Bombyx mori: one gene and its partners. Each later gene encodes a partner of the first gene's protein in a complex. Links are inferred from orthologs where the notes say so. Each region holds a gene or a part of one and is shown in the gene's direction. Other genes may lie near its edges.

The links. Proteins that work in one complex are often made in the same cells at the same time.
Region 2: chromatin assembly factor 1 p55 subunit (region 1) and histone-lysine N-methyltransferase E(z) share a complex: the UniProt entries of both Drosophila melanogaster proteins name them as parts of the polycomb repressive complex. The link is inferred for Bombyx mori from reciprocal best matches to the Drosophila melanogaster genes Caf1-55 and E(z).
Region 3: chromatin assembly factor 1 p55 subunit (region 1) and transcription factor Dp-1 share a complex: the UniProt entries of both Drosophila melanogaster proteins name them as parts of the DREAM complex. The link is inferred for Bombyx mori from reciprocal best matches to the Drosophila melanogaster genes Caf1-55 and Dp.

The regions. Positions count from the first base shown.
Region 1 is NC_085109.1:4,082,580-4,086,332, forward strand, and holds part of chromatin assembly factor 1 p55 subunit, read left to right. Parts: coding exon 1-158; intron 159-672; coding exon 673-790; intron 791-1,053; coding exon 1,054-1,184; intron 1,185-1,518; coding exon 1,519-1,696; intron 1,697-2,297; coding exon 2,298-2,390; 3' UTR 2,391-3,753. UniProt on the Drosophila melanogaster protein: Core histone-binding subunit that may target chromatin assembly factors, chromatin remodeling factors and histone deacetylases to their histone substrates in a manner that is regulated by nucleosomal DNA.
Region 2 is NC_085117.1:20,094,587-20,098,736, reverse strand, and holds the start of histone-lysine N-methyltransferase E(z), read left to right. Parts: upstream 1-1,350; 5' UTR 1,351-2,147; coding exon 2,148-2,222; intron 2,223-2,294; coding exon 2,295-2,478; intron 2,479-3,803; coding exon 3,804-4,019; intron 4,020-4,150. UniProt on the Drosophila melanogaster protein: Polycomb group (PcG) protein. Catalytic subunit of the Esc/E(z) complex, which methylates 'Lys-9' and 'Lys-27' of histone H3, leading to transcriptional repression of the affected target gene.
Region 3 is NC_085110.1:8,925,391-8,929,571, forward strand, and holds the start of transcription factor Dp-1, read left to right. Parts: upstream 1-1,381; 5' UTR 1,382-1,740; coding exon 1,741-1,789; intron 1,790-2,072; coding exon 2,073-2,200; intron 2,201-2,758; coding exon 2,759-2,810; intron 2,811-4,181. UniProt on the Drosophila melanogaster protein: Component of the DREAM complex, a multiprotein complex that can both act as a transcription activator or repressor depending on the context. In follicle cells, the complex plays a central role in the site-specific DNA replication at the chorion loci.

The DNA.
Region 1 (3,753 bases):
GACATCAACGCGACGCCAAAGGAGGGGCGGGTCATCGAAGCGAAGTCCGTGTTCACCGGCCACACGGCCGTCGTCGAGGACGTCGCGTGGCACTTGCTACACGAGTCGCTCTTCGGATCCGTGGCTGACGACCAGAAACTGATGATATGGGACACCAGGTAACACCAACAACTAACTTTTTGAGGTTCTTTTTTATTGCCCCTTGTAGGCAGACGAGCATACGGCCCACCTGATGGTGAGTGGTTACTGTCGCTCACGAACGTCGGCAACGCGTGGGGCAGAGCCCAGCCACAGCCTACCATTTGAAAAGTTACAATTGTAAATATAAAACATTATAAATGAGACAAGATCAAGACATACTGATTATGTAATTGTGAATTGTACAATACTTATTAACTAAGAGACCTATTTAAGACAATCATGATAATAAAATCATTAGTTTGAATATGAAAGTGCTTTTCCTATCATGGCATGATAACACAAACAGGAGGTTGTTTTCACATATTTCTGCAGATAACTTGTATTTGGTATTGACCTTCATTACTTGTTAATAATTACCTTTAATTATTTTTTTATGATATAATGACACATTTCGTTTAAGTGTAATAATGAGGTATGCATATATGGTAGTAATAATTAGTAAAATAGAGCACAATTATGTTGTAATTACAGATGTAATAATACATCGAAACCATCTCACACAGTGGACGCACACACCGCTGAAGTTAACTGCCTCAGTTTCAATCCCTATTCAGAGTTCATTCTTGCTACTGGCAGTGCGGATAAAACGGTAATGTTACTAATTTTAATTCAAATATACACATCTAACAAGTCAAAACTTCCATAGCGTTTTGCTTATTATTTAATTGTAATATTTATATATCAATTTTTTGTAATTTAACGAAACTTGTGTTCACAAGCTTTGAATTCAATCAGCTCATGATACACTGAAAAATGAAACTACAGTTTTAATATCATAATAAACTAAATAATAAATAGCCTATCCTTAATAATAGGTTAACTACTATAACTATAAATATAATTTCCGTCTAGGTTGCGCTTTGGGATCTACGCAATTTGAAATTAAAGCTACACTCGTTCGAGTCGCACAAAGACGAAATATTCCAAGTACAATGGTCGCCACACAACGAAACTATTCTCGCGAGCAGTGGTACCGACCGAAGGTAAAATTACAGATAATTGAATTTTCAAACTTTTTGTTACATCTTGTGTACAGACAAGAACTCTCAAAATAATAGTATTAAACGGTAGGTAAAATAAAATCAACACCCATAAAAAAAACAGATATGGAATTGAAGTTGCAAAGTAAATATAAAAGCTCAGACTTCTTGTGGGCTTACAGCCACTTTTTGGGCTGATTTTAAAAATCGTAAACATGTACATCTAATTTTTACGCTTTAAATTTGGGAAAATGCACAATACTCAAGAACTGGGTTTGCTGATTGCTGTACGAGACAATAATTATTATGAAAGTTACTTCATTACTTGTTTTTTTAGACTCCATGTATGGGACTTGTCAAAGATTGGCGAGGAACAGACAGCTGAAGATGCAGAAGATGGACCCCCAGAATTATTGTTCATACATGGAGGACACACCGCTAAGATATCTGACTTCTCATGGAACCCTAATGAACCATGGGTCATCTGTTCCGTCTCTGAGGATAACATTATGCAGGTATGCTAAAATTATAGGTTGAATGTTTTTAGCTTAGATAGGCACCTTTTGGGAGAAAGCTGTCAGAAAACATTAATATTATAGTTGATCTTAATGCATAAAATATAATTGCTTTGCTAAAATATAATTTCTCCCTAGCACATAATTATTTATTGGTGTTAGAACTTCTTGTGAGTACACGTGGGTAGGCACCACCACCCTGCCTATTTCTGCCGTGAAGCAGTAATGCGTTTCGGTTTGAAGGGTGGGACAGCCGTTGTAACTATACTGAGACCTTAGAACTTGTATCTTAAAGTGGGTGACGCATTTACTTTGTAGAGCTCGTCCACATATATATGCCATAAAAAAAAAAAAAAAAACTACAAATCTAGGCTATTTGATAAATATTTCGGCACATCATCTCGGATCCTTCTAACAGTGCTTTTAGGTACCCCAAGCACCGGTCATCGTTCTTGTCGAACCCGTCGCTTGCGACTCACTGAGTTTCTCGCCGGATCTTTTCAGTCGCGGTTCAGACTTGGTGGTAGCTTCTTAGAATAGGTAGAAAAAAAATATATATTTGGTATTTGTTGTACATTGATTCGGTGCGGTATCTGTACAGGTGTGGCAGATGGCTGAGAACATCTACAACGACGAGGAGCCGGAGACGCCGGCGTCGGAGTTAGAGTCGGCCGTCAACGTCAACCACGGCTAGTCGTCCTGTCTGTACGACTCATGTGCTCTGTGGAGAGTGTGAAATAACAACATTGTTTAACATTCACTTTTTAATCGTTAATCTGTGAGATAACTCTGCTACAACCGAACAATAATGGGGTACAAGTTTTCGGAACTGTTCTTAGTTCTATAGAATTTTTATCATGTAAACGTTATACAAAACACTAAAATCTTGTTGGAAAAAATGACATTTATTAAAATGCTTTGTAAATATCATTATGAAATTTAACTAACTAATGATCTGCTATTCTAGCTAATTATCTGAGTTTTTTCGAAATATTACAAACAGCATTTTTTACTTCTAATTGAAATTACCACAAAATTTTATATTTTCAATATTTAAATGCAAAAAGTTGTCCCGTTTTTCATACTTTTCAAACTATTTGACAGTAAACAGTATATTAAACATACAAGTATAGATGTAGTGAGAAACTATTTTCCTTCGGGAAAACTCTTGATCTTTATCGGAATACGATGACACCCGAACTGTCAATGAATGATCGTATTAAATGAGTGACATTTTCATATCCATTAATAAGGAACTTTATTGTTTAGTCTCAAATGTCAAAATGACATTGTATAATATAGAGATGCTGCAACCATAACAATTATTACTTAAAACAGGATATTTACTAGGGTATTATACGAAATGAATTCCCGATATTTTTAAGTAATAATTGTTATGTTCGGGATGTGTGGACATAAGTTTCGTCAGTATTATACACAATATCTGCCTTCAGATCTATACTTCCTTATTAAGTCTACGTACTTTACTCTTTTAAGTCTAACGTCATCTTTTCCATCAGCATTTTCCTATTATTAGCAATTTTCTTCAATAAAAAACCCAGTAGTGTAAAATCACATTCTTTGAAATTCATCGTTTCTATTTATTTGGGCTTTAGTGCTTTTATTGTAGGGACTTGTTTATAAATGAGATGAAAGCTATAAACCATTCGTCGTATCACTGCATAATCAAAATCATCAAGATCTAGATAGATTTTCATGCATGGTCTACCCATCTTAATTTTGTTTGTGTTGGTATTTTTATTATTTCTGTATTCTTCCTCCTGGTTCAAAATATTCTTATTGTTGGTCTAGTTGCGTTTGAAATTCGCTGTTGAACTTTGTCAAAATACTCTTGAGTTGTTGCTGTTTTTGAATTTGCTATTTTCCGATATGAAGTACAGGTAAAACTTAAATAAAACTTTTCCGAAAAATTACGAAGTAAAATCTTTTCTCATTATATCTATAAAGTGAATCGTTACATAGCATACAAATAGGTACATAGGCTAAATATAACTTTAACATTAGCAATTGTTCTAATATTTTGGGCAATTGGTGTC
Region 2 (4,150 bases), on another chromosome or scaffold:
TCTACCACCAGATCGAATTCGCAAACCACTAAAAAGACCGGTGGCGAGATACTCAGTGGCCTTCTGGTATTAAGAAAATCCAATAACAGATTATGACGGGATATTTAAAGTATGAATTATATATAACACGTACTTATTGTCGAGAACAAAACATAATGTTTGAAAGTAAAATGAAGACTAAAGTAAAATAATATTTTATTTCTTCTTCTTCTTCTTCTTTTTCTTCACCTTATCCCACTAAGTAGGGTCGGCACAGCTAATTTTTCTCTTCCATTCTCTTCTATCAGCCGTCAGCTCAACACTTACTCCTTTCACTCTCGTATTGTCATTCACACACTCCATCCATGTCTTCTTCGATCGGCTTCTTCCCCTCTACTAAAATAATATTTTATTTGGCTAAAAGAAACGTGTTATTAGCTTTTATTTATTTAAAAAAAAAACACTTTACGTCCGCAACTGATTAAGACGTACGTGTAAGATGTAATTATAGTAATGCTAATTTGATACAACAACAACTACAAGCATCCGAAAAATAAAAATAAAAGAAAGATAGCTAAATTGGAGCGGCACAGCATGTTAACTCTTTGTCCCCACCAACTACTTCTCGGAATTGGTTCATACAGGGACATTCACCGTATCTTCGATCAAAATTCGTCTGTGGTTTTAGTAGGAAAGGGGGGGATTGAAGTGGTGTGAATTGCTTTATTTTGTTAACTTAGTGTATCTTCACGCTTAAAACTGTTCAGTATCTGTAAAAGTGCAAAAATATACAAAAATTAAACAAAGGCACTGATCGTAGTTTCTCAGATTCTTCCAAAAAGTATTTTTTTTTTTTATTGCCTTTGTAGGCAGTCGGGCATACGGCCCACCTGATGGTGAGTGGTTACCGTCGCCCATGGACTTCAGCAATGCCAGGGGCAGAGCCAAGCCGCTGCCTACCGAAAAACCTATTGAATAAGTTACAGTAAATAACTACCATTTTATTGCGAACGAATTTTATCACATCTTATTTCGTTGGATTTCATTCAATCCCATTTAATTAAAGTCTCATAATAATCATGTTGTTGCAAATTTTTTTAACCTATGAATAAAATATAAGTATTCGCTTAACGATCTCGGTTACCAGGCCATAGTATCTTAAAAAAAGCCATTACAAAAGATTCTAAATAAATGAATTACCTAAACACTTCGATCAAAAATAGTGTTGATCGAAGCCTAAGCAAGTGTATATTTATGTTATCTATGGCCAATGGGTTTGACCTAAAGGTTTTAAATACCAGGTCATAAAATCGCAAAAAAATAAATATGTCTATGGGTATCAGCGTTGCCAAATGTACGGCAATTGCCGTTTCGTACGGCAATCATGCTTCTAAAAGACAAATTGTACGGCATACGGCAGAGTGGTCATTGCCGTATTCTAAAATACGGCAACAAGAGCATAAAGCTAAAAAAACAATTAATGTATCTAAAGTGATTACAGAACGTGAATACTTTTTGCGTAAACATAAGCGCATCCAACTCTTGTAATAGACAATGTTTTATGTTTGGTACGGGGAATTCCCTACAACCTACAACGCCTGCTCTTCGAGTCGTCTCCTCAAGTCGCCTCGCCGCCTCGCTCTTGTGTCATTGTTTGTACTAGCAAGTGTAGCTTCATTTTGACATTTGAAAAAGTGCAGTGTAGTGATACATGAGTTAATGTATAAAATGTGTATAAAAAGAATCTTCAGTGCAGTAAATCTAATCAAAACAAAACAAAGAAACCGCCTCTTAACATCTACCATAAATGGAACAATATTAGCAAATAGTACTGTACGAGCTTTAAGCCAACCCCCGAAATGATCAATAAATGAAAAAAAACCCATCAAATTACGGAAAAGATCAGATTATTGAAACTGAACTTACTTTAGGCAATAATACAGATTTGATGAGAAGAGAGGAGTGAAAAATATGTATTATTTTAATTTCATCCTAGAAATAAATAATAATAAACTTTGAATTACTTTGTACGGCAATTTTTGTTTAAATACGGTAGATTTTTTTCTCCAGTACGGCAACCCAATGTTGGCCCAGCGGCAACACTGATGGGTATAGCTCTAAGGTGTAAGTTTGTAAAATGTGAATAGCCGAATTAAAATATTTTGAAAATGAGTAAATCGAAAGTATCAGCTGAATGGAAGAAGAGAGTTAAGTCAGAGTACATGCGGCTTCGACAAGTAAAGGTAACTCAGAATGACAATATTGAAGTTTACGATATATGAATCTGGATATGAATGTAATGTAAATTTTTTTAGCGTTTCAAACGCGCTGATGAAGTGAAAGTAGCATGGGCGCGCAATTTGCAAATAATGTCCGAAGCTATAGAGATGCCTGAGGCGGAAACTACGGATCGTACTAAACGGCCCTTCTGGCCCCCGCCGGCGCCTACATCGAGCCATGAGAGCCTTATGAAGAGGGCCGAAGTTACCTATACAGACGGTAAATCTTAACTTTGCCCTTACTTAACCATGTAGTGTTCATTAAATGCAAATCCGCGCAAGTGGGTACCACCATGCTACCTCATGATGCGAAGCAGTCGTGTGTTCCGGTTTTAATGATTGGATCCTCGCTGTATTTTGTTTTATGGTGGGTAGCTTCATCGCGTCGTGGTTTCCTGTAGCCACCAAAGAAACAGTGATCCTCTTAGCTGTTAAAATTGTTTTGCATTTCTGAAATTTTAGGGTGGGCACCACAACTCCGTAATCCAATTTCAGAAGGAAAATAATTTAAAAGTCCCACAAGCAATTGCAACCCATAATTTGAAAAAATAATATCATTTGTATCTTACCTTACCTACAAGCAAGGGCGGATACAGCTTTGGCGCCAGGAGGGGGTCACATAGTCAAATTTAGATGCGTTCGTTCCCAAACGTTTGCCATTATACAAAGTTATTATATTATATTAAATTAATTAAATATTGAAGGTATGTAGTTACATAAAATCTGTATGGTGACAAAATATATATAAAAAAAATCATTATATTCAATTAGTGGTCCACCTAAGTCCTGGAACCAGCTCATGGGGTGGTCATGACCCCCATGACCCCCCCCCCCCTCTGGATCCGCCATTGCCTACAAGTCTTGTCTACATCAATTAAGATAGACTATATCGACTGCAAGCCTATTAATTGACTTTTCTATTATCAATTCTTATCAACTGCTGTCTTATTAATCACATTTTCTGTCAGCACTTATCAACCAATAGCCCATAAATTGGTTAGAGGCTATTAGCTTTTAACAGTTTCTGTCACTGGGATTAATTAAACTCCTAACCTCTTTGCATTTTTGAGTTTCAATAAAATGTGTGTGTGACTAGCCCTGTCTTGATTTAGTGGCAAGCTCAACCACAACAGGCCAATAGAGTGTTGAACTGCTAAATATGTTCCACTGTCCTGTACTGTAAACATAATGTTTTAGCCTTATCGCAGTAATGTACACCATATAAAAAACAAAAAAGTTCCAGAGTTGCTAAGTAGTTTTTTAAGAATTGCAAAATTTTGTTGCAGTGTTATCAGCAACAAAATTAACTATTCTATGCACTCAAAACATTTTTCTCTAATGAACTAAACTTAATAACAAAAAAGTTTCTAATTCCCATTTACTTTGACGTACAACCCAAAATACTCAACCCTTCTGAACTGCTGATTCCATATGGTGTTCCTTTTCGGTTTTTTTTTCATGAAAGACATAGACTTAGTTTTTCATATTGAGAGCAAAACAGTTTAGAGGACTTCCTACTACTTACTGAATTAAAATATTTTGCAGGTTCAGGTGTAGTGACAACCCAACAGGTACCAATAAGAATAATCAACTCTGTGAATCCAATTCCGACGATGTATACATGGGCTCCAACACAGAAAAATTTTATGGTAGAAGATGAGACTGTTCTGCACAACATTCCATACATGGGAGACGAGGTCCTGGATCAGGATGGTACATTCATCGAGGAGCTAATAAAGAACTACGACGGGAAAGTGCATGGTACATCGGCTTTCATGTCATTACTATAAATGTGGACTGGGCCAGTTTTGTTGAAAAATGATCTTTGTTTCTTACAAATAGTGAAAAAGATGTCTTCCTTGAAAAACAAACCTTAATAATATTCTCTTTAG
Region 3 (4,181 bases), on another chromosome or scaffold:
TGATCAAATCGACATGTACTAATGTTTCTCAACCTCTAAAGTTCTTATAGTCTCATATTTATTACCTGCATTGGGCATTCAACCTAAGGGGCTAACGGTATCTCAATCTATTACAATAACAGTTTGAGCTATGGTTCGATAGCTGTTGGTTTTAGGAAAAACGAGTATGTGAGTTTGAGATAGTGTTTTTTAAGAAGTATCGAGTTGATGATGTTTATTTAATAATACATCCCCGCAGACTATTGAGATTCAACCTATAATCATATTTGTAGACATTAAATAGTCATGGCGCCGCAATTCCAAGGAGTATCCCTGCAATCTTCCGAGAGTATCGGGATACTTGGGGTCAACATTTCGAGCGATGTCCAGTTTCGGAGTCATTTGGAAGGCAAAGCCAAGTTGGCGTCCAAAATGCTGGGAGTCTTCAATAGAGCGAAGCGGTACTTCATGCCTGAACAAAGGCTTTTGCTTTATAAAGCACAAGTCCGGCCTCGCGTGAAGTACTGCTCCCATCTCTGGGCCGGGGCTCCAAAATACCAGCTTCTGCCATTTGACTCCATACAGAGGATGGCCGTTCGGATTGTCGATAATCCCATTCTCACGGATCGTTTGGAACCTCTGGGTCTACGGAGGGACTTCGGTTCCCTCTGTATTTTGTACCGTATATTCCATGAGGAGTGCTCTGAGGAATTGTTCGAGATGATACTATCTGGAGCCACTGCGGTCATCCACAGTGCGTTTCCAGAGGTCTTTTTTGCTACGCACTATCCGGCTATGGAATGAGCTTCCCTCCACGATGTTTCCCCGTGCGCTATGACATGTACGTCTTCAAACGAGGCTTGTGGAGAGTATTAAGCGGTAGGCAGCGGCTTGGCTCTGCCCCTGGCATTGCTGAAGTCCATCCACTCACCATCAGGTGGGCCGTATGCTCGTCTGCCAACAAGGGCCGGAAAAAAATTATTGTAATCTCATAAATGCTTTTTTATGGTAGCTTAGTTTTTATATATACACAAGGTTCTACAATAAATACTGGAAGAACGAGTAGTGATATTGTTTCATAATCGTAAAAATATCAGAAATGATACTATACCACTAAAAAAAAAGTAAGTGACCATAACATTGTAGAAAAATAACGTAACAACGTGAAGAAACTGAATCCGAACAGACTATTATGAACAAGAAAGACATGGGGCCATGCATGAAGTTTAATAATTAAATTAACCTCATGCATGGCGCACTTCGGAAAACATTTTTAAATTCTTGCGATGGCAAGGACATTAAATGCGTACATCTACACCTAAAAACAAAATGGCGATTGAGAATTGGCGCCTTTTTGTTTTTTTTTCACATCTAGCAACTATTGAATAGTACCACGTGAACTACCTCATCCAATCAGCTGGTAAATCCAAAAATCCCGCCTCTTGCATCGTTTCCTTCTCGTCCCGCGCTGCGTTGGTGATGGTGCTTGGATTCGCGCATTTAATATACTTTAATTAAATGTTAAAAGTTTATCAATGTTACATATATTAATAGAAACTTTAAACTGTAAAAGGTTCATTTATCGGTTCAAAAATTGGCTATAGTTTTGGTTCTAACCCATATTTTTGTCGCCATTTTGACCTGTGATTTTGGTCATACGAATTGAGTAGGTATTATTTAATTTGTTTCGTCATCAACAATTGTCCTACGTTGTTCTTATGAAACATAAATGGACGTCCAAATTCAAGGAGTGTGGAGAAAATGTCCCAAACTAATAGTACAATAAATTACCTTATCCATGATGCTAACGGTTAGTAGAGGTGCTACTTTAGTTTACGTGACACTTGTTTTTCCTATCGGATTTAAGACTTTGTATTGCAAACAAAGCCTAGATCAATTGGACCAAACTCAAGACTAGTAGCTTAGCTTTAGTTATTATCTTCGACGCCTTTTATTCTGCCGAAATAAACATCATCACAGCGTTTGTTTATTACGGAGATATTTTTTGTTTCAATCAGCTGATGGCACCGACGCTTCAGTAAGTCTTTAATTTAGATTATAAATACATAAAGACTCGATGATATGTCCTGCAGGACTTCCTCAAGTGGTGAAAGTGCTGGAAACTACAAGTAAACCACTGATTGCTCAAATCGAAGCAGAACCGAAAGAGAGTCCAGTTAAAATTGTTACTGTATCACCTGTTCCGGTCAAATGTGCAAAGGTATGATTATTCGCAATTTTTTTATATATGAAACCACTATATGTTTTACATATATTATTATAAACATTATTTATTTACGCTTCATTAGACTAAACTTTTAGTTAGAGTAGTAATGTATATGTTGAATAAACTTTTAATAAACAGAACGAACGAAATGACATGAAATATAATAATAATTACTTTCCTTTGTCACTGTGGTTAACCTAAGCTTTTGGGGTTCTAATATAATTTAGATTTAGTTGGGTGAACTGAGCCTACCTATGCCCTTATGCCCTACTGTAATTTGATTTGAATTTGAAAAATATTCTACAACTAATGAGGACTCCCTAGTTCTTGTATTTTTTTATTACTAGATAGGTGGATGAGCTCATGATCCACCTGGTCTAAAATGGTTACTGGAGCTTATGGACATCTACAATGTAATTGCCTCCATCCACCACGAGACTAGTTCTAAAGTCTCAGTACTTACATCTTACATAGGTCAATAGGTACCAAACCAGAATTAGCAATTTGATTATCATTTACCATTCAGTTTTATATGAGTATACTCTTTAACAGATACCTGTTCCAGCCAGTTTTGCAAGATTTGGAATTGTTCAATACAAACAAAGTAAGTTTTCAGCATGACAGGGTTTGTTGACAGAAAGTAGAAAGTAACCAAGAATCCTATTTAATATATAACTGTATATTTTATTGCTTAGATGGCTGGATGAGCTCATGGCTCACCCGGTGTTAAGTGGTTACCGGAGACATCAACAGTCAATGCCGCCGTCAACCTTGAGACACAAGTTCTAAAATGTCAGTTTTTACAGTATAATAACATATACTCCACCCTTCAAAGTGAAATGCATCTGCTTCACAGCAGAAATAGGCATGGTGTAATAGCAAATAATTTAGCTTCTTGCATACATTTGAGACTTCAACCTCATTTCTCAATGTAATCATACATGTAATTTAGTGCTTTGCGAATTGTTAGGTACATCTACATCCAAAAAAATTTAATAAAAATAAAGTGAGCAAGTAGTAATGAATGTCAAATATATACAAATTTAGGAAGTATTTTGTTACTAAAATTTTGCACACTATATTAATCTTAGTTCTGGGTGTTTTAGTATCACTGTTTACAAGTATCAATACTTCTGCTATGGAACATAATCTAATTTTTAATACATACATACACTATAAAAAGAACATCTTGATTGACTATCCAATATTAAAATAATCCACATGATGGTGGTAATTAATGTTAGATAAGCTGATTTATGAACAAACTTATATAATTTGAATTAGTCCATCAATTCACTTCATTATACATTTCAAAATTATGGTGAGAAATTATGCCTACAATATAAACATACATATAAATCAATAAGTATCACCCCTCTTAGAGATCTGAAGTTGTAATATCAATTGTTTTATATAAGGGCTGTCCGGCCCATCAAACCAGAACTCTCGACTGCTTTGTGGCAGAAATAGCCAAAATAGTGATATCTATTTACTCAAGTGGTCTTAAGATACTTCCCACTAACAGATATTACACAATGTCTTAAGACACAATAAGATCCAAATGATTAATGGAGGTTTTGAACCTTGTCATAGCCACATCACTTGATATAAATTCATCAGGTGTCTTACGATTCCGATTTCGCAGTGGAGATTTTCCTGTTGAGTCTGTAATTATTGTCACCACTGTCTAACCTTGTTCTTAAAGGCTGTTTTGCAATAGTCAAAGATCACGTTTACTAGTCTCTATACAGTAAAAGTTTATTATTCGCGGGGTTGAAGCATAATAAAAATATGCCGCGAATACAGTAACCGTGAATAGGGAAGGGTAATTTGCGTATATGGAGGTTATAGGGGACTCTTCGCCTCGAACTCGACTGAACGACGGGGGTGCCACACCACCGAACATCCCCCGGTGTGATAGTTCCCTGCCGGAGATCTACTTTGCACAGTGTGCAGTCAGGTGGGAACTCCGACT